Linked DNA regions of Elephas maximus indicus. The protein of the gene in region 2 purifies or fractionates together with the protein of the main gene of each other region. This does not show direct contact. Links are inferred from orthologs where the notes say so. Each region holds a gene or a part of one and is shown on either strand. Other genes may lie near its edges. The genes, in order: NOLC1, TCOF1 and ARRB1.

Region 1 (7,348 bases), on a different chromosome or scaffold from region 2:
CAAGCAGCAGTCAATACGCTGTTATCGAAAAGCCTGCAGGTCAGCCAGCCCCCCAAGCCGGGGCTGGCAGGGCCGCCGCGGCCGCAGCAGCCATTCTATCAGCTCTGGGTCCAACGGGACCAGCGAAGCATCTTCTTCCTCATCCTCATCGTCGTCTTCCTCATCCCGTTCCCGGTCCAGGTCCCTCTCCCCCCCACACAAGAGGTGGCGAAGGTGAGCTCTGGTGGCCTGTTAGGTCCACTCTGTTTAGGAGCTTCATGAACTCCTCTCTGTGGTTTTCTTTTGAAACCTTTTGCACATTAACTTTGATACTTTTAGGCACTAAGGTTTCTGTTTCTGTCTTTGGCGTTTGTCGTCTCCTTTCCTAGATTGTTGAAGGAGACAAACTGGGAAGAAAGCTTCTATCCTGTGTTGGAGTATAGGGTATCCCTGAGGTCCCCTGCTTCCTTGAGACTTGCCTTGGGGAAACTCTTACGGTTCTACCTTGACCATGTTGATCCCCTCACATATCATATTGGCCCTCATTTATGGCATTTTCCTGGTGGTATGTGGGAAGGCGGGATAGTGAGTTGTTAACAGGAAATAGTCCTTCCCTTAATCATCTATTGAGGAAAGAGTTTGGGGCAGTTTCTTTGGGTATCACTGTGGCCTCATCTATTTCTTGGCAGTATCTTTACTCTTAATAATGAACCCAAATTTTCCCACTTAATGAATTCTTGGTTTTTGATGGTGGTAGATGCTTTCAGAAATGGCCCCTGTACAGGTCTAGCATAGTCTTCTCCCCTCAATGCCATGGTCACAGCAGTCCTGTGAGTCATGGGAAGGGAGCAGTAGGCCAGAGACTCAGGTCTGGCCTTAGCACCACAGATAGCTGGCTGTGAGACCAAGGGCCCACTCCTATTCTCTCTGGGTCTTTATCTATTTTTTTTTCTTTCTGATTGTTAAATATTTTTCAGTTTTTAATTGCACAATTGAAGATAAGTATGGTCTTTGTCAAAACATACCAGATATATGTAAAGTTCTCTTGAAGGGCCTCAGTTTGTTCATCTGTGAAGAAAAGTGCTCTTCTAGACATCTGCTCTGCTTTGCCTCTGGTCCTGAGCCTCCAGACAGGGAGGCAGCGCTGGGGCCAGGGTGAGGTAAGTGGAGTATACCTGCACTACTCCAAGCATTCCTGCATGCCCCTTTATCCTCCAGGTCCAGCTGCAGTTCCTCTGGGCGTTCCCGAAGATGCTCTTCCTCTTCCTCCTCCTCCTCATCTTCCTCATCGTCCTCATCCTCCTCGTCCAGTTCTCGAAGCCGTTCCCGCTCCCCATCCCCCCGCCGGAGAAGTGACAGGAGGCGACGGTGAGCATGTTTAGGGAGGCAGTGTACCTGGGATGCAGACACCTGAGAGTTGAGTCTTGGGTTGTCTTGTGTCTGGGGAGCTGATGAAACCTTCTTCTGTCAGGTACAGCTCCTACCGTTCGAGTGACCATTACCAAAGGCAGAGAGTGCTGCAGAAGGAGCGTGCAATAGTGAGTAGAGGAGCAAGTTATGGGAGAAGGAGGAACTTCCCTCTGAGCCATGAGCTCAAAGAGCTGAGTGTAGCTGTGATCCTGGCTCATGGCAGGTCTGTTTTTCCTTGCTCCAACATAGGAAGAGAGAAGGGTGGTCTTTATTGGGAAGATACCTGGCCGCATGACTCGGTCAGAGCTGAAACAGAGGTTCTCGGTTTTTGGAGAGATTGAGGAGTGCACCATCCACTTCCGTGTCCAAGGGTAAGCTTGGGCCCTAGGGTCAGGATGTTCTTTCTGCCTCATTCAGCTACCTTGATGTTTCTTCATCCTTCCCCCTTGCTTTGGTGTGCTGGGCAATGTAGAGCACCTTCATTTCTACGATCAGAGGGTTGGTTATTTGGGGAGTGGGAAGAAGCACCACAGACCCTCTTTGTACCCTGGTGCTGTCACTGCTCCATGGTATGTGCCCAAATGGCCATCCCAGCCCTTGCCTCACCCTCCCCACCAGTGACAACTACGGCTTCGTCACTTATCGCTATGCCGAGGAGGCATTTGCAGCCATTGAGAGTGGCCACAAGCTGCGGCAGGCTGACGAACAGCCTTTTGATCTCTGCTTTGGGGGCCGCAGGCAGTTCTGCAAGAGGAGCTATTCTGATCTTGGTGAGTGCAGGGAGGGCCTGAGGTTTTGGCACATTTCATCGCCTCCCTAGAAGGCTTCCCAAGCCTTTGAGTGTGGGGCTAGGTAGACTTAACCTTCATCTGACATGTGAAGAACCTGAGGGGTGAGATCAGAAGAGAAATGGGGTTCTCCTGTGTCTCTTTGACTTAAAATCAAGGCAGTTTTAACTCCGTTCATTATTGGGATGGGAGGTGGCTAGCCATTTGAGGACCCTGCGGTTGGGAAGCAGTGGTCAGAGACCTTTGAACCCTGACATTTGGTCTTTCTTTATAGACTCCAACCGGGAAGACTTTGACCCTGCCCCTGTAAAGAGCAAATTCGATTCTCTTGACTTTGACACATTGTTGAAACAGGCCCAGAAGAACCTCAGGAGGTAACCCTGGGCTCTCCTCCCCCCCTTTTCTTTGGAGGTGCCCAACCTCCTCCATCCCCCTCCCCCACTCTAGGGGAGAGAGCTGCTAGTGAAGAGATGACTGTTTTATAAAGAAATGGAAAAAAGTGAAATAAAAAATGTGTAAAATCAGATTTTTTAAAGGGTATTTGTTTTTTATAACAGGTATTGAAACAAGATAACTTGCATTCCTATGTAAGATGGTTAGGGCTGAGGGGTTCCCCCAGTGTTCGGAACATCTTAAGTCACTATGCAGACTAATTAATAAACATGAACTAGTGAGAACTCTCAAGTGTGATTGTGTTTCTTTCTTTGATGCTACTGCCAAACATACTTTTCCTTTCTGAACATAATCAGGGATATACTCATGCCATTAAGTTCCTAGGACCTTTCTCTGGTCAGGTACAAAATTCTACTTGACTGACTCCTGAAGTGTGTTGTCTATGAAATCAGCTATCTAAGGCAGTGCATCTCACACTTTAAAGGGCATTTGAGTCATCTGGAGATTGTTTAGAATGCAGATTCTGATTTTGTCCTTTTGGAATTGGGCCTGAGATTCTACATTTCTAACAAGGGGATATTGTTTCACCAAGGATGTAGAGAGAGCTCACACTTGTTGCAAATAAAGGTTTTCTCATTCACCGTCTGTTTTGTTCACCATTTTAGCTTGAGCACAATTCTTGACACACTGCAGGCAGCCAGATGTTTAAAGAATGCGCGTATGTGGACAGATGTGGCCACCTTCTCTCTGGGGAATAGGACTGCTAGAGTTGTATCTAGGGGAGGGGAGTGCCTCTTTTGAGAAAGAGGAAATCCATGAGGAAGTGGATTCTTATCCTTCCTGAGGGGATGCATTAAGAGGAAGTAGTCAAGGGGTAGTGCTTCAGATTGAAGGGATTGTTGTCTGCTAATGTGACTTGAAATACGGCAGAAATTGGAATTTCCTTGGCAGACCTGGGCATTGATATTGGGTTTACTCATGACAAAGGGAGGGGTTCCCCAGTTCTCCCACAGAGAGTTCACAGTGTGAGCTCTGACCCAAGAGATACAAGGTTTATTTTCTGGACTAGGGGTTGGAGGGATTGCTGTGATCCAGAGGTTTGGTGCACTATCCTTTTTCTTTCATGGAGCTGACCTAAGGCTGAGTAATTGGGGTAGAGAGGCCTATGTGTTAGAAATCTGTGGGAGGTGTAGGGCAAGTCATGACAGGAAAGTTGTGGGGATCAACACTTTCATCACCACGGATAACCTGAAGGACAGATGGGAGTCTGGAGGCTAGGGTGGTATCTGAGAAAGGGCCTCCCTGAGTGTTGGAGACAGTGAAGATGAAGAGTGAGAATCCACCTGTAACGAGAATGGGGGCTGTTGGGAAGTCTTGTGACCAAGTCTAGACAGTAGCACAGGTCGAGCCGGCCAGTCCACTCACCAGCTGAGGCGCGGGAATCTGCTCTGAAAGCACCTCCAGCAAAAGGACAGCGCGCGGGAAGCCCAGAGTTTTCCCGCCACGGCAGAGGGCGTGACTCCTGACGTCAGAGCTCCCCTCCTACAAAGTGACGGCCGGCGGGCTCCGCCTTTACCATGATGGCGACACGCGTAGGACCGGAAGAAATTTTTAGATTTCCTCCTTGACCCTACCTCGGAGGCGGAGGTGGGACTGCTATGTAGAATACCACACTTCCGGTATGCGCCCGCGCGGCGCAATGACGTCACGCGAGCCCTCCCCCTTGTGTTCCTGAGTTTCTAAATCGTGCTGCGTGGGCAACCGTAGTGACGCGTGTATCCTGGAGGATGGCGGACGCCGGTTTGCGCCGCGTGGTTCCTAGCGACCTGTATCCCCTAGTGCTCGGCTTCTTGCGCGACAACCAACTGTCAGAAGTGGCTAACAAGTTCGCCAAGGCGACAGGCGCTGTGAGTCCCGGGCTTGGGGCGCGGGTTGGGGAGGGATGACCACAAAGCTCTGGGCCTTGACATGCTTAGGGTTCCGGGTAGGGAGGTATGTGGAATCCGCCAGTCGAGTGTCTGCAGGACCTTTGTGCCGAGCTCTCGGCGGTGACCGGGGAAAGTCCAAAGCCTCGGCACTTCCTTTTTCACGAGGTTTGACTAGATAGCGCTGAGTCTTGTTACATTTTCCTGGTGAGCCGTGCAACGGCTGCAGTGTGGGGCCCGCGTGGTCCAGGTCACGTGGGCTGGCGGTGTTCTTGGGGGAAGCTTGGTGTCCAAGGGTATTGGTGGCGCTTTTTAGGCTTTTCGTTAGCCGAGGGAAAGCGTGAATTGACCTGTAATTCGCAATTGTCCAAGACTTAAAGACGAGTGAAATTGCTTCAGAAATGAAAGCAAGGGTTTTTGTGAGTAAAGAAGAAAATGAACGAAAGTAGAGGCAGGGTTCTGCTCTTAGTGATATTGAAACAAAGGCTGAGTATATCATGGCTCTACCAAGCAGGCATAGCAGTGGGCTTAGAGTTTCGGCTTATGGAATCAAAGTTAGGTTTAAGATCAGGCCCAGAAACCGGGGCAGTTTGACTAACCTCTCTGAGTATTTGTAGTTCTACATCATCCACTTGATAGAATTTTTGTGAGTTTCAGCCAGATGATGTATACAAAGTGGCAATCCTAGTGCCTGATGTGCTGCAAGCATCAATGAGTAAAAACGGTTAATATAGTTATGGTAACTTAGATGCTCCAAACATGTGTAGGAGAAGGATAACCAGGAATATGACAGATTTGGAATCCACATCTCAATGAAAGCAGACATGACTGCATGGGAAAACCCCTGCAGAGAAGGGTAGAATAGTAGTCTTAAGCATGTGTAATAACATGATTGAGAAGGTAGGTTTGTCCTTTGTGGCAGAATCAGTCTTTGAAAGGAGGTGATTAGATCAGCTTCAGAAAGAACTTCCTTAAGCTGGGATAACCTGCCTTGTAAGTTGATATAACTGCCCTTTTTTTTTTTTATTGGATCAATTTTGTATTGACTGTTAGGGGGACTGCAGAAAGTGTTTCCGCAATGGGTTGGATAGAGTTGGGTCTTTCAGAGTTAGAATTCTTTGGTCTTATGAGACAGAAACTATTAATCGTGGAGAGTTTACTAAGGATTGGATGCTAATTCTTTTATATGCATTATTTTTTATCCTATGATCAACTTAATGAGGTGTGTAGTATTATCTTCATTTTATAGAGAAGAAAACACTCTCAGAGATTAAGTTCAGTTCTGTCCTGTAGGGTTGCTATGAGTCGAAATTGACTCGACTGGTAGCTTATTTACTAATTTTCTTTTGGAGTCTTGTTTTCAGCAATTTGGTAGTACAAACCAAACACAGTAAACATTTTCTTGTATAAATGTTTGTGCCCTTGTTTTATGAGTAAGGATACATTCCTAGATGACACATTGGTAAAGAGAATGCATGTTTTGTAAGGTTTTGATAGTGGATAAATAGGCAGGAAGATAGATAGTACCACAAACCACAGGAATGCCCCAAGTTTTGGGAAATATACAAATGGAATTTTTTTTTCCTTAATGTGTGCAAGTAGGAGCAGTCTTATGAAAATTTAATGTTTGTACTAAATTTAGTCACAGGATTAGTAGGTAGCATTTAAAGCATAACGGAACATTTGATCTCTCCTAAAATAACCAGTATAAAATTTTGCTTGGCTCTTTTTCTTTTCCCCTACAGACCCGTCAGGATGCCAACGCCTCTTCCCTCTTGGACATCTATAGTTTCTGGCTCAAGTAAGCTTTCCCTGTTCCACATTGTCTGTATTCTCCCACTGGGCGATTTGGGCTGTGTTCCTTGGTTTGGGAAGGTCCTGGTGCCCCAGAAGTTAGCATCATTGACTTTAGCAGGTCTGCTAAGGCCCCAAAGCGGAAGTTACAGGCAAATGGGCCAGTAATTCAGAAGGCTAAGAAGAAGACTTCATCCAGTGACAGCAGTGAGGATAGCAGCGAGGAGGAAAAAACCCAAGTGCCTCCAGCTAAAAAGGCTGGTAAGGCAGGGCAGGGGGCTTGGGGTGGTGGTTCCAGGAAAAGGATTTGTAGCCTTTCTGTTCCACATGGCTAACTCTTACTGGTGCCTGTGCTGTTCAGCTATAGCTGCCAAGCAGGCCAGTCTTCCTCAGCATCCTGGAAAGGCTGCAGCCAAAGCATCAGAGAGCAGCAGCAGTGAAGAATCCAGTGACGAGGAGGAGGAAGAGGACAAAAAGAAGAAGCCTGTCCAGGTTTGCAGTTTTGGGAAAGGAAGGGGTTGCTTATGGAATTGGAAAGAAACCTAAATTCTTGACTTCTAGCTTGTGACCAAGAGGTGGTGCTGGGTGTGAGGCAGGTGACTGTGAGGAAGAAAATCTAGTGACTTTCTGGGAGGTAATAGAAGTATGAGGTCCGGAACGGATGTGCGAAGATGAAGTTGGGCTTCAAATCTGGAGGTATTTTTGCTTCTCTGATTGACTGTCTGGGGCTCTGACAATAAAAGAGAGAGCATTTAGTAGATAGGTACTGGAAACTCTTGGCAGGGGCCAGCAGGGATAGAACTGATACGTCAAGTGGCTGAACTTTTGTTTCTCATTAACAGTTGGTTGCCTTTTTCATCTGCTTTTCTCCTCAGCTTTCCCTTTCTCTTGCTGCTCCATTATCTGTTAAAAAATAAAAAGGGCTTAGAAAGCCCTGTACACTAGGATGTCCTTTGAGTACCCAGAAGTACTTGCTGATTGCCCTACTTGTGTGTTTCCTAACAGAAGGAAGTTAAGCCCCAAGCCAAGACAGCCAAAGCTCCCCTCAAGAAAGCTGAG
Region 2 (7,325 bases):
CCTCATTCATCACAGTATCTCCATACTTAGAACAGGGCCTGGCATTCAGTAGGTGCTTAATAAATGCTGATCAAAAGAAATATCTATCCATGTGATCTGGCTTTCTGGGAGCTATGTCCACAGTGGGCTTGGGGACCCATCTTAGATCAGGTTAGTTTCCTGACTTATTCCAAGCCAATTGCTTGGGGTGCCCCTACTCCACCCTCAGCCCCACCAAACTCACTGTTGCCAGTGTGTGTAGATGTCCAGAAGGGTGACCGGCTGAGTCGGGAAACTTTTCTGCAGAGAGATAAAGAGAGGTAGCAATTAACCTCCCAGCAGGGGAGGCCTTCCCTGGTCCCAACTCTGCCTGACCTCATGACATGAGAACAGACAGGTGGTTGAGAAGGGAGTCTTTTTGCTCTGAGAAACATGTCTGTTTAGCCCTGCCAATACCATTCAAAACCTTCCAGAAACAATCAAGCCAAGCAATTCCAGCTAAAACCTTTTTAGACATGTTGGTGAGAGGCACGTTTGAGAGGCTGGAGCTGGAGTGTTCCAGGCTAGCATTCACCCAGCTCCTGGCCTCTCTGGTACTCTTCACCCTCACAGGCCATAAGATGGGGCTTTTTCCACCCTTGACCTTTCAAGAGGCCTTCAAAAGTTTGGCTGGTGGATCTCCCCAGACAGTATGAACCATAGTCCAGATACCCAAGGCATTCCAGCGGCACAACCTCAGTCTAGCAGTTCACTATGAAGAGGCTGGGCCCAAATGGTGCCAGTCTCTTGGTGGAAGCAGAGAACACCAGGTGGAATCCAGGACTTTGGAACTGAGGACAGAAGGCCAACTCTGGAAATGCCAAGCACCTCAAGTTCCAAGGAGGCTGGGTGAGCAGTGTGGGGTGAGGGTGGAGAGCTCAGGTGGCTGGGCAGAGTGGCCAACAGTGTGTTCCAGGGGTCAGGCAGGCCTGGATTGGAGTCAGTTCTCTGTTAACTGACTAGGTAACCCTGGGCTAACTTTTCCAAATTCAGGTCCCTTCCATGTTATGGATTGAATTGTGTCCTCCAAAAATATGTGTTGTAAATCCTAACTTTTATGCCTGTGGTTATAATCCTACTTGGGATGGGTTGCCTTTGTTATGTTAATGAGGCAGGTGTGTCTTAAGTCCTTTTGAGATATGAAAGTGATTAAACAAGCAAGGGAAAGAAGCCGAGATGGGGCATGACAGATGCCAAGACACATGATGATCACTAAGGGAAGGACAGAAGCTAAAAAGAGCCAAGGACTTTCCTCCAGAGCTAACAGAGAGAGAAACCCTTCCCCTAAAGCTGGAGCTCTGAATTCACACTTCTAGCTCCTAAACTATGAGAAAATAAATTTTTGTTTGTTAAAGCCACCCACCTGTGGTATTTGTTACAGCAGCACCAGATAACTAAGACATTCCATAACATCTGAGACAGCACGTATTAGCCTCACTCTGCTCCCACCCAAGCACACCAGCCTCCTCACTGTCCCTTAAATGTGGCAGGCCACCCCCTACTCCACCCCTACCAGGGTCTGGAATGCTCTCTCTCCTGCTAACTACATAGCTCACTCCCTCATTTCCTTTAGGTCTCTGCCCAAAATGTTACCTTTTCAGTCAGGCTTCCTTGACTACCCAATTTACAATTGCACCCCTGACACTCCTTAATCACCCTTGCTGCTTAATTTTTATAGCCCTCACCTATTATCACATGACACTCTGTACCACTAACTTACTTTTTACATGTCGTTTGCTGGAATGTATGTTCCAGGATGGCAGGACAATTTTCCTAGGCATACGCTCCAAGGCTCAGGGAGGATTGGGAAAAGCATAGATAACATCTCAGGGCCCATCACCCTTTGATCCCTTCAGGAGGCCCTGGGATATTGACAAATCAGGCCCCCTCAGTCACCAGTTTAAAACCTTCCAGTGGCTTCCCACTGCTTTTTGGCTTAAGACCAAACTAACTACAAGACCTGCTTGGGCCAGCCCCCACCTCCCTCTCTCATCTCTCTGGGGACCTCTATTGCCCTGGTCCTCCGTGCTGTAGCCTCAGGGACCTTTCTTGAGGTCAGTATGTACAAAATCAACCTCTCTTCTACCACGGGGCATTTGCACCTCTGCCTGGAATATTCACCTTCCCCCTTCAGATCTCAAATCAACAGTGACTTCCTGAGGGCAGCAGTCTCAGGTATCTCTTGAGACAAGGGCAACCTGCCATACACTGTTTTAGCACGCTGTGCCTCTCCTTCTTGTAACTTCATGTAGTGTTAAGTTTACAGGTACTTTCGTGATTTGTGTCTGTCTCCTCTACTAGATCGTAAACTCCACTGGGGCTGAAGGACCGAGACCGCCATTCTATCACCAGCAGGTTAACAGCTGCTGAATGAATGAAGTGAGAAAAGACTGCGCCACCAGTTCTAACCCCAAAGCTGTCCAACTCTGTACAGAGGCTCTCTAAAGGTCTGAGTTCCTGCTCTACTGTGGAGCCCCTTCCCTTGGCGGTCCCTCCTGGAGGTGGTCACAATTCGCCCCTCAAACCCGTGGCCAACTACTTGCCCCAGGAGGCCGCGCGGGGCCACGTGGTCTGAGACTTAAGAAACTTTAAACTGCTGCTCCCAGGAAGGGAGCAGAGGCGAGCGGCGCGGGAATTACAAAAGCCCTAAAGCGTTGGATCACCGGTCCCGGCCCGCCCACTGCACAGATGGGTAAACTGAGGCCTACAGAGAGTAAGAGCTGCAGCGATGGTTGAGGCTGTAGCTACTAGAGCTCCCCCGGCCCGCGTCCCTGAGAACAGGAGAATCCGGGTCTGGGCACCCATCTTGTCGCCTGGGTAGGGGGCACCAGCTGCTGCGCTGCCGATCCTGCACGTGGGCCTCGCACACGGCACTCGCAAGCTCACCTGGGCGCTCTGCTCCTTCACTTCCCGCGCTGCGCGAACATAGCCCGCTTGCAGAAGATGCTGGTAGATCAGGGGAAGCAGCTCCCGCCGCTTCCTGGCCTCGGCCATGCCCGCGACCCCTGGCTACTCCGCTCACCTGCACGCCCCCCCAGTCCCCGCCCGCCACTTCCCTCTTGCCCTTAGACCTCGCGCACCCCACTTCCGGCTCCTCCTTCGCCACAGCCGCATGGCACTCCGGGAAATGTAGTCTTTTATCCTTGAGCGGCCGCTCAGGTCCTGGAGGGTGAAAGGGGCGGAGGCTCAGAAGGCAAGAGATCTCCGATTGCAGAGGGAATGGGAGGGCTTTGATCTGGCCCCGCCTCCTGGTTGGGCCATGCTACGAAGGACTCCCTCCTGGGAATCCTTTATTTAGACTTGTTCCTTGAAGTGATTTGTATGACCGCTGCGACTGGGCTTTATTCATCTCTGAACGCCCTAATCTGCATCTTTTCTAAACTCGAATTCCAGTTGCCCGCTCATTTACTCTTTTCACACGTTTTTTTTTTTTAGGATCTATGAACCAGGCACTGTTTGTTATTAGTTTATTCATATATTAATTTACTTACTGAACAAATAAGTACCGTACCTTGGGCTAGGCAGAGGGAATAAAAAGATGAATAAGACATGGCGGCCGCCCTCAAAGCTTGCAGGGCAGAGAGAGACAGTCGGTAACCAAGCAACTACAGTTCAACGCCTCGTGTGCAGTTGTCAGGAATAGGAACAGCCTATGGGAACACGGAGGAGGGGTATCTAACCCCAAGGAGGAGTTTAAAATAACTGAATCTTAAAGGTGGAGTAGAAATTTCTAGGTTTAGAGTATTGGCATCCCAAGAAGAGGGCAACGCATGAGTATAGGCATAAGAAACCACCTGGTGTAGGCTGGGAATCCAGAGCACAGAACCTGGTTCTGTGCTGCTTGTCTGTAGAGTTGGGGGAAGAGGAAACAACTGGGGACACATGAGGAGAAGCAGACAGGGCCTACAAAACCCTCTTCAATCCCAGCAGTTCAGACTTTGTTCCAAGGACAATGGACAGCCTCCCCTTGGCTTTATGCAAGAGTGTGATATGGTTTTGCATTGTGAAAAGATTGCTATGACCAAAGCATGGAAGACGGATTTGTGGGGAACAAAACTAGATGTGGGCTGTTGTAGTGTTGAGGGGAGGTGGCAGGGAGAGGGTGAGCTGGGCTGGGGAATATTTGAGTCAGCTAGTCCTAACCTCTTGGGTCCATTTGAGAATCTGATGACAGCAGGAAGCACAGCCCTTGCTCTAGAAAATTTTGAAAGTGTGTTTTTTTTTTTTTTTACGGACACATCGGATTTTCCACCCAATTTCAGGACACAGATAAGCACGTACCTAAACTTGCTAGGGTTAGGAAACTCCGCTCCAGGAAGAAACATGAACAGGACCAGGTAACTGATTGGGTGTGGTGAGTGAGGAAGAGGAGAAGACTAATCTACTTTCAGCCATTTAACAAATATTCGTTGAGCACCTATGGTTGGGGGTGAAACAGTCTCTACCCCACAGAGCTTACAGTCTAATGCGGGAGATGCATGTTAAATAAATACTCATACAAATACACTGTTACAAACTCCAATAAGTGCAGGAAGGAAAAAGATAATATTTCCTCACTGAGTAGTATAATGTTGAAAAGCTGCTGGAATTGCACCTCCCGGGTTCAAATTCTGGCTTTGCCTCTTATTGACTAGGTGACCTTGGGTAAGTGATATAAGTTCTCTGGGCCTCAGTTACTTCATCTGTAAAATGGAGATAATTATAATTTCTACCTCATAGGGTTGTCCTGAGGAGTAAATGAATATCAAGCAGAAATGCTTAGAAGAACTCCTAACAGTAAATACTGTGTGCATGTGTTACCTATTATTGCAAAAGCATTTAACAGGAGGGAGGGATCTACCTTTTCTTGGGGGTTAGGGAAGGGTTCCCTGAGGAAATAGGGTTTGTGAGGAAATCTGAACTATGGCTAGGGGAGGGTGGGGTGGGGGGAAGAATCCTGGGCAGAAGGAAAAACCTTTTCAAAGGGTCTGCGGCAGGAGTGCAACTGAGAGGAGAGGGAAGGGAAGGTCTTTGTAGCTTGGGAAGTGCAGAAGGTGAGCAGAGGGCAGGTTCTCCATTCAGGATTGGCCACATTAAGGGTGACCAGTGTAAATGCCCGCTAGAGAGTTGAGTAGAAAGCATCTAAGTAAATGAGGGAAGACTGGTTAGGGTTAGGGGTGCAGAGAGGCATCCAGAAGGGATATAATGGTGGCCAAAGTGAGGGATGGGGGGATGGCAGTGGAGTTGGAGAGCAGTGGAAGTTTCCTAGAGTTATTCAGGAAGTAAAATCATCATAGAGATGTGCTGGAATAGGAGGGTGAGGAGAGGAAGTCAGGATGGACTTTGAGGTTTCTGTGCAAACAGGTGGACAGTAACTTTCACCAAGATAGGAAAAACTGGAAGAGGACTGGGGTGAGAGAGTTGAGCGAGGATGAGCGAGGAGGGGCGGTATGAAGGAGGAGGTGAAAAGTTTAAGTTCCACTTTAGACATGTTGAGCTTGAAATGCCACTGAGACACCAAGTGTGGATGTGGAATAGGCATGTAGAAACCTGGCTTTGGATTCAGTACAGAGGTCTGGGCTAGAGATGAAGGTGGGAAGTTGTCCCCAGAGAGATGATAATTGAGACTGTGGTTGAGGACAAGATTGTCCAGGGAGCCGAAGGTAGAGGGAGAAGACAAGGTGGCCCAGGGTGGAGTTTTGAGACATGCCCACAGGTTAGGTCTTCCTAAAGAGAGATAGGGGGTTATGTTGGTGGTTAAGTGGTAGAATTCTCTTGCCTTCCATGTGGGAGGCCCAGGTTCGATTCCTGGCCAATGGACCTCATGCACAGCCACCACCTGTCAGTGGAAGCTTGTGTGTTGCTATGATGCTGAACAGGTTTCAGCAAAGCTTCCAGCCTAAAGATGGACAAGGAAGAAAAGCCTGGCAATCTACTGCTGAAAATCAACCAATGAAAACTCTATGGATCACAATGGTTCAGTCTGCAACTAATCATGGCACAGGACTAGGCAGAGTTTAGTTTTGTTGTGCATGGGGTACTATAAGTCAGGGGCCAACTTGGCAGCTAACAGCAGCAACAAAAGGCTGCAAAGCCTGAGAATGAGGAGCCAGAGAGATGAGTAGGATGAACCAATGGTGAGGAATGAGCAGTGGGCCTCAATTTCATGACAGGCATGGAGATTGCTGGTAGCCTTAAAACCAGTTGCAAATGAGTTGATTCTGATTTATGGTGACCCCATGTGTGTCAGAGTAGAACTGTGCTCCATAGGGCTGCAATGGCTGATTTTTTAGAAGTAGATCCGAGGCACCTCTGGGTGCACTTGAACCACCAAACTTTGGTTAGCAGCTAAGTTCATTAACTGTTTATACCACCCCAGGACTCCATTGGTGTCCTGAGAGAGTGCTACTTCTGTGGAGTGAGGGTCAGATGGCTGTGGTCTGATGAGTGGAGGGGAGATGAAGGAGGCAGTGGGTCTTTTGTTGGCATGTGTGTGTGTGTTTGTGTGAATGGGGAGGAGACAAATGATGTGGTCAATGTGTGTGTTGGAAGGTGGTGTGTTTTAAGGTGGAGGAGACCCGAGTCTGCTTAAAACTAGTGGCAGATCAAGGGGAGAGATTAATCAAGGGTGTAAGAAATAGGGGAGATAATCATGGAGTAGTCTTCAACCAGCATGTGCCAGGGGATAGGATCAGGCGTGTAGGTGGAGGGTTGGTCTTAGAGAGGAGGAGGGATGACTTCTGCAGAACCAAAAGAGGGAACAAAGAGAGGACGGTGCAGATGTAGATGTAGGTTTGCAGTGGGATGCTGAGGGAGATTTCATGTTCAGCTTCTATTTATTCTGCAAAGTGGGAGGCAAGGTCTTCTGCTGAGAGGGAAGAAGAGGTGGTGAGGAGCTTGAAGGAAGGAGGAGAGTGATCATTCAGAGTTGAGAAGCAACTTGCCCACAAAAAACACAACTGCCTGGTAGTGTTAACAACCCTGTTGAGGCTGGTGGTCATTCATTTATGTGAGTCCTGTCTTGTTTTGCTGAGTGATTTCCTTCAGCAGGGCTCAGCTGCCCAGATGCAGGCAAATGGAAGGTACTTACTCCAGGCCTAGAGTTTTGCCAAATGAGTGGGGGAAAAGGCATAGGGGTCTAAAGTGTTGGCAAAAGAGATGCTGAATCGCTGGACTCTGGGATCTAGGCTGGGTAGGAAAGGAATTGAAGGCAGATGGGGTTAGTTTTCAGGGAAATAGTGGAAAGCTTTGTGGACTGGGCCACGACGAGGCCTAGAACCAAAGCCTGAGGTCAGGGAGGGCTGGCAGCTAGAATTTGCGATGATGCC
Region 3 (7,046 bases), on a different chromosome or scaffold from region 2:
GGCTCTTGCCTGCTTCCCAGCTTTACCGAGGAATATTTACAAGGGAGAATTCTGGGACTGGGTTGCTACGGATTGAAGTGGGCAAGGGAGGTGTCCAGGATGACATCCAGATTTGCGGTTGGGGCAGAGGTGGTGAAGGTCCTTAGTTTCTTATCTACTAACATCTCAAAGGGCTGTCAACCTCAAATCCTTTGTTGAACAAGGAGCTGAAAACTCATCCACTTACCCATCCACCCACCTATCCATCCACTCTTCAATCTGACATTCAACGACATGACCAGGTAAGCAGATGCTTTGGGTTTGAGCCCAATCTTTACCTTTCATTTACTATATCATTGGCCTAGGCCCTTTCCCTCTTAAAGCCTCTGCTTTCTCATATATGAAGCAGGAATAATACTTCATTTCTCTCTCTCTTTTTTTGGGTAAGGGATTATTATTAAGTGGTAAATTTCAGGCATATGTCTGGCCCAAGTTGAGACATAGTCGGAGATGACCAACTCCTATGGACCTCAGTAATAGAATCCTTTTGCCTTTTAGAAAAATCACTCTGGTGTTCAGCTAGAGGATGTATTAGAAATGGATTGAGATGGGAAGGAAGGAGTACTCCAGTCCTCACAACCTCACTTCCCATATGTGGGGATGTAGCCTGTGTGGACGCTGGAACAAACAGGCCCTGCCCCAAATCTCTGAGTCATTTGGATTCTCCACAGTCCACTGACAACGCCTCAGCAGGTGCTGTTGGCTCTGCCTCCAAATATATCTGAACTTCTTACTTCTTTTCATTTCTGTGCCACCATACTAGCCCAAACCACCACCCACTCTTTCTTGGCTACTACAATAATGTGGCGCCCTGTATCTGCTCTTGTCTCAATCCAAGTTGTATCCATTCAACAGCCAGAGTGACCTTTAAAATGTAAAGCAGATACTGTTACTCCTGCCTAAACCCTCCACTGGCTCCCTGACTCCTCACCCGCACCTATAAAGCATTACCTGATCTGACCCCCGCCAGCTTCTGGTCTACCACTCCTTCCTTCCCTGTTCACCCAAATCCAGCCACATAGTCCTTGTTCTTGCCCATTAGAAAGGCCAAGCTTTTGTACTTGCTGCTCCTTCTTCCTGGGAAGCTCTTCCCTTGACTCTTCACATCGCTGGTTCCTTACCTACAGGTTTTAGCCCAAATGTCATCTCCTTGAAGAGCCTTTCTGTAAGTACACTGGCCCCCAGGCACTCTATTTTATTACCATTTTATTTTCTTCATAATACTTATTACTGTCTTAAATCATGTTATTTATATTTATAGAGTTCTCCTCAATGTCACTATTTTTAAGTGTATATTAATTTTGATTTTACAGGTAATACCAGAATACATTCTCCATAGAGCCTGACATATTATCAGGAGGGATCAATCCCTGAAGACTGACATTATGCTCGGTAAAATAGAGGGCCAGCGAAAAAGAGGAAGACCCTCGATGAGATGGATTGACACAGTGGCTGCAACCATGGGCCCAAGCATAGCAATAATTGCCAGGATGGTGCAAGACCAGGCAGTGTTTTGTTCTGTTGTGCATAGGGTCACTATGAGTCAGAACAGGCTCAACAGCATCTAACAACAACAACAACAGAGCTTGACAGGTAAAGCAAAATACTCTTCTTACTCCTCTTCCCCCAGCTTAGATTCCTCATTGAAATGAAAGCCGCATTTGTCTTCTTGGCCACTGATTTTTAAGTTCCTAGAACCATGCTTAGCACATAGTGGGTCTTCAATAAACTGTTATTGAATGAAGAATAAATTGTGGGTTAAATTCTGGTCTACTATGTATTAGCTCCGTTTTGGGGAGGGCACAAGGAAGGGAGGTCCAAAGGAGGCTATGGACTCAAGCAAATTACTTAGCTTCTCTGAGCATCCATTCACTCATTTATAAAATGGGGAAAAGAATATTTATTTCACATAATTTTGAGCCTCAAGTAGTGCCAGACACACCATACACCCCCTCATGAAGTTTACAGGCTAGTGGAGATGTACTGGAAACCTTGACTGTTGACTCCATAGTCTGCCAATCTGTTCAATGTCCCTACAATGCTAGAGTCAGGCTTCTCAAACCGGCTGGAAAGAGCTGTTCTGGATTGGGTGTGGGGGCGGGGAGCCCAAAACCATCTGATGCATCTTCCTAGACTGTTTATTTTACTTGAACGTAATTAAAAATGTGATTTTTGTAGTAAAATGAACATAAGTATTTATTGAGTGGAATTAAGAATTTGCCTGACAAATGTATTGCATGCATTTTTATAACAATTAAAAAAAAAAAAAAAGTCAGGAAAAAAAGTCTGCCTGAATTTTTAAATAAAGTTCAAAGGTGCTTTAGCATCAGCATGGGGAGAGCCACTGGAGACCATGTGGTTTGGTCGAACCCACGCTTTAGAAGTGGGGAGCTTGGGGTGCAGAGAGTGGTAAGACCTGGCCTGTGCATCCTGTTAGGGTCCTCTCTGGCTCACCCAGTGAGTCTCTTGTCATCATAGGAGAACTATGGTCTGCTGTTCTCAAGATTCCTGACCCCTGCAGAAACAGCAGGGGCTTCCCCTTCTTTCTCTTTGGAAGGAGAATGGGGCCCAGAGGTCAAGGCCTGGAGGAGGGTTCTAGGCCTAAGTGCACACTCTCCTTGCACCTAGCATTGCCTGGAGCCTGGACCACCCTGCCTGCCCATCAGTTCACCCCTCCCAATCTAGACATAATTATGGTAATTATACTGGGATATCATTACCCAACTATATATAAAACCAGCATAGGTAACTGCTTCTGAGCATAATTACAGGAGATGTTTACAGACCCACAATCGCATCAGAGTAAATGATAGCTTCCTTTCCTCCCACTAATACGCCAATATTAGGGACCCATCAGGGCCAATTAGCCAAATCCCAGCAGAGCGGGGGTGGAAAAGACCTCACACTCTCCCACTACCTACAAATCAGGGTCTCAGCCAGCCATTTCCCTGGACACCAAGAAGTCTGGAGAGGGATGAGCCAACATTTACTGGGTACCTACCGTGTGCCAGGCCCTCAGGGGGAGTCCGGCAAACACAAGCAAATTTTTAAAATCTATGAACAATTCTGAGGGACAGTATTGGTATTCCCACTTTAAAGATTTGGAAGTTGGCACTGAGAGGCCTGTTGTCCAGGGTCACCAACAGCTGGTGGTGGAGCTGGACCAGAGCGCCTTCCACGATGCTACCGGGCCAGGCCAGCCTCCTGGCTCGCAGCCCCGAAGGTTCTTTGCTCCCTTCACATACTCCTTATCTCCTCCTCTCACAGCTTCCTCTTCCCGCTGCCCTGCTCGCCTCCCGCCCCCTTCCACCCTCATCAGTTCCCCAATATCGATGTTGTTTTCGCCTGCCCTCTCTGTCCCTTCTTCCTGCCTCTATTGGGTGGTTGGGTGTTATCTCTCAAGTAGGGGGTTGCATAGGGCGAGGGCCTTGCCAGGCATGCGGAGTCTCAAGCCAATTCCCTTCACCCCCGCCGGGGGGCGCCGCCAGGGGCTTGGCCCCGGGGTGCGCCGACCTTCGGCTTCCACCCACAAGCACACACAAAGGCTGTCTCCAGTGTGCGCGGGACAGCTCACTAGTACCCACGGCAGTGCGTACACACGCACAACTGCATGAAGACGTGCACACTCCTCCATCCACACAAATACACTCCCAAATAGGCCCGCGCACACCGCCGTGTCCACGCACTGCAAGGCGGCATATACTCTCGTGTGCACACACCGCACACATATACCCAAGCCGGCGTGTATCTTCACGCACACACACACGTACGCGCACACAGTTGGGCACGCACCCTTGTATACCGGCAAATGCAGACCTCGGGGCCCTGACGTGTATCGCTGCCCTGCCCTCGCGGCTCTCTGGGCGGTGCACGCGCGCGCGCGCGCGCGCACACACACACACGCACGCACTCACACACAGATACACACACGCACACACACACACACGGACAGACACACCCCGGTCGGCTCCACGCCCCTGGCCGCGGCCCGGGCTCTGCGCGGCGCGGCGCTGCTGGGCTGCAGGCGGGGACCTGGACGAGGGCGGGGGAGGAGGCGGTGGCCGGGCGAGCAGAGGAGGCGGAGCAGGCAGTCGGGAGCGGGCTGGCCCGCACTCCTCCTGCCGGCCGGGGATTTTCCAGCCGGTACGCTGAAGCCGTGGACCTCCCTGCCGCCGCCACGGACCATGGGCGACAAAGGGACACGGTGAGTGCTATCGGTGGCCTGGTCTGGCGCGCGGGGGGGGCGGCCTAGGCGATAGCAGAGGCGAAGGTTGTAGTCCGCGTCCTGGCGCTGCGTTTGCAGTCACTCCAGGACCGCTGACGCCTGAGTCCGCGGGACCCTGCTCACCTCTGCCAGGGGTCTCTTGTGTGGTCACTGGCAGGGGCCGCAGGCGGGGGTACCCAGAGGGTGAGGACCGGGCCGCCCCAGCTGCCTCGCGGCTCCTTACCGAAACACACACACACTCACTCACGCGCTGACACCCAGCCCTGGCCAGGCAGGCGCAGAGACGCATGGGGGCAGGTTGACACACAATGGCACACACTCATGTGGACACACGGGGCACACGCACTCATGGGCACACTCATGACAGCACACACAATGACATCCACTGTCACACACTTATCACATATAGTGACACACTGTCACACACTCCCAGATACACACTGTGGTATACATTTGGCAACACATTCATGCTGACAGTCATGCTGGCATAGGTGGGTACACACCTAAACATAGAAACATTAATACCTCATGCTGGCGCACAAACATTGGCCCTCAGTGACACACATGCACACTGTCACTTGCACTCACTGTAATACTTTTACTGGCACACGCGTTGTCACCCTCACTGACCAGACACACCTGTGCTAGCACAGATCTCACCAACACGGTGGAACGCAAGACCACACCAACACTGACCCACACAGACACACGTCAGACTGATGCCCACACAGACTGGCACCCCATAGGCACCAGCAAGCGACCACGGGGCTGCTGACACACTCCCTCCAGTCCCCACATGGTAAGAAATGGAAACACATATACATCACACAGGGTGGGGGCGCCTCGCCTGGAGCCTGGGAAAAACAGGTCCTATGGACTCTTTTCCTTTCCCTCTGACCTCCTGAGGCCTGGGGTGGCTGGCCAGGATCTGTTTTGAGCTAGAGATGGGGAGAGGGGCTCCTAGATAGGAGCCTGCCCTAGAAGATTAGACTAGGAACCAGAGAAGTTATGCATCTGAAACGGGAAACTGGGACAAAAGGGGCAGGGGCGGGGGCTGGGGCAAGGTAGCCCCTGGGAACAGCCCTGTGGGACCAAGACAAGCCCTGGTCTGGTATTCAGCTTTGTCACCCTGCTTCTATCTCTACCACTCTTTCCGCCCCCTTAGGTTCTGCTAGCAGTCTCTCCCTTGTCTCTTCCTCTTTCCTACCCCTTTTTGCTACTTGGACTTTTTCAATTGTCCCTTCTTTACCTTCTATCCCCGGTCCCACTTCTCCCCCCCTCCTCCCTCCCTCCATTCTCTTTCCCTCAGCCCTCCCTCCCTCTCTCTCCTTCTTTCCAGCAATTATTTATTGAGAGCCTACTGTGTACTAGGCACAGTGTGGGGTCAAAGACTTGCAAGATGCATTCCTTCCCGGAAGGAGCTAACGGACTAGAGAGAAACCGCACTAGTGGTCGTCACCTTCCGGACCACTGACAAAGCAGTTTCTTACCCACTGCCTTCTGAGATCTCAGTAGCAGGAGAAAGGTCCTACAGAAATTATTTCCATTTTCTGGAAGAAGAAACTGAGGCTCAGAGATAACTTATCCTTTTAGTGTTTAGAAACTGCTTCTCCACCATTCTCCTGACAGCTCTTCCAGGAGGTTAATTTTCCTTTTCCCGTTTTCCAAAAGATGAACTGGAGCATTAGAGAGGTCACCTGGCTTGCCTAAGGTCAAGAGGGGTCAGAGGCAGGGTAGAGGCTGGAACCCACCTGCTCTGTTTCTCTGTGGCTCCCTTTTGGGCATTGCCAAGCCCCTCATGGGCCCTGGGTTGGGGAGACAGGGTGGCGTACCTTGCTCTGTGTGTGGGGCCCAGGCTTATGGGGGAAGCTGCGAAAGGTCACAGAGCATCTGCATTCACCCTGACGGCTACTCTCCATCAAAGAAGGCCTGGCCAGCACTGTGTCCAGCTGTCTGTCCTCAGCAGGAGGGTGTGTGACTCCTGCGTTCTCCCTGCAGGACACAGTGGGGGCCAGGAGTCATAGCTCCTGTCCTGTGTTCCGCCAGTGCTGCTTCATGATCAGGGTGATTCAGCCCCTCTTGGGCCTTGGTTTGCCTCTTGGTGACTTGGGGAGAAGTGTCATTGCTCCCCTGCTGGCTTGTTGGCAGAATGCGTTCACCATGAGCAGTCAGGCCCCAATGGGCACCTGTTGGAGACCCTGTCTCTGGAGCCAGGGCTTTTTCCATCACTCCTCCACTGTGCCTCTAATTCGGTACAGAAACTCGGGGACCTTGGGCAATTGCCTTCAGCTTTCTGGACCTCAGTTTTCCCATCTGTAAATTGGAGCTGTGAATTGTGCTTATTGAGTTCACAGTGTGTGGATTCCTTGCGCTTACTGAATCCACTGGGAGGAAAGATGGCCCTGACTGAAGTCTAGAGCCAAGGCCTGGCTAAACTCCACCAGATGATCCTCCCTTCAGCCACCACCACAGTCCCAGGAGGCCTCTCTCTCCCTTTCCAGACAGGTAATCTGAGTAATTTGGTAGAAAAGGGCAAAATCAATAATGGGCCATGCCCTGCCTTGTTTCCTAAGCCTTAGGATTCTACTTGATGACTTAGAAGAGGAAACTGCCAATACCCAATACTCTAAGGATCAGGAGCCATCACGTGCATCCCTCTGCCTCAGATTGCACCCCCTGTATGAAAGTGACAATACAAATTAATCAGAAACTGCCACTGACCTCTAGGAACTCCCAGGACCAAGGGTGAAAGAGACAAAGACCTGAATGGGACTAATCCAGT

What was found.
Region 1: the proteins of TCOF1 (region 2) and NOLC1 purify together in Homo sapiens (affinity purification with western blotting; 4 studies listed by BioGRID and IntAct, with this or other methods). This does not show direct contact. The link is inferred for Elephas maximus indicus from reciprocal best matches to the Homo sapiens genes TCOF1 and NOLC1.
Region 3: the proteins of TCOF1 (region 2) and ARRB1 purify together in Homo sapiens (affinity purification with western blotting; 5 studies listed by BioGRID and IntAct, with this or other methods). This does not show direct contact. The link is inferred for Elephas maximus indicus from reciprocal best matches to the Homo sapiens genes TCOF1 and ARRB1.

The regions. Positions count from the first base shown.
Region 1 is NC_064834.1:53,751,787-53,759,134, forward strand, and holds the start of NOLC1 (nucleolar and coiled-body phosphoprotein 1), read left to right. Parts: upstream 1-4,289; 5' UTR 4,290-4,357; coding exon 4,358-4,477; intron 4,478-6,240; coding exon 6,241-6,296; intron 6,297-6,407; coding exon 6,408-6,550; intron 6,551-6,650; coding exon 6,651-6,781; intron 6,782-7,294; coding exon 7,295-7,348. Other genes in the region: PPRC1 (peroxisome proliferator-activated receptor gamma coactivator-related protein 1), read left to right, coding at 1-213, 1,198-1,347, 1,451-1,517, 1,639-1,760, 2,008-2,159, 2,452-2,555. UniProt on the Homo sapiens protein: Nucleolar protein that acts as a regulator of RNA polymerase I by connecting RNA polymerase I with enzymes responsible for ribosomal processing and modification.
Region 2 is NC_064820.1:165,574,225-165,581,549, reverse strand, and holds the start of TCOF1 (treacle protein), read right to left. Parts: upstream 3,070-7,325; 5' UTR 3,013-3,069; coding exon 2,905-3,012; intron 280-2,904; coding exon 224-279; intron 1-223.
Region 3 is NC_064825.1:47,153,237-47,160,282, forward strand, and holds the start of ARRB1 (beta-arrestin-1), read left to right. Parts: upstream 1-3,996; 5' UTR 3,997-4,223; coding exon 4,224-4,243; intron 4,244-7,046. UniProt on the Homo sapiens protein: Functions in regulating agonist-mediated G-protein coupled receptor (GPCR) signaling by mediating both receptor desensitization and resensitization processes.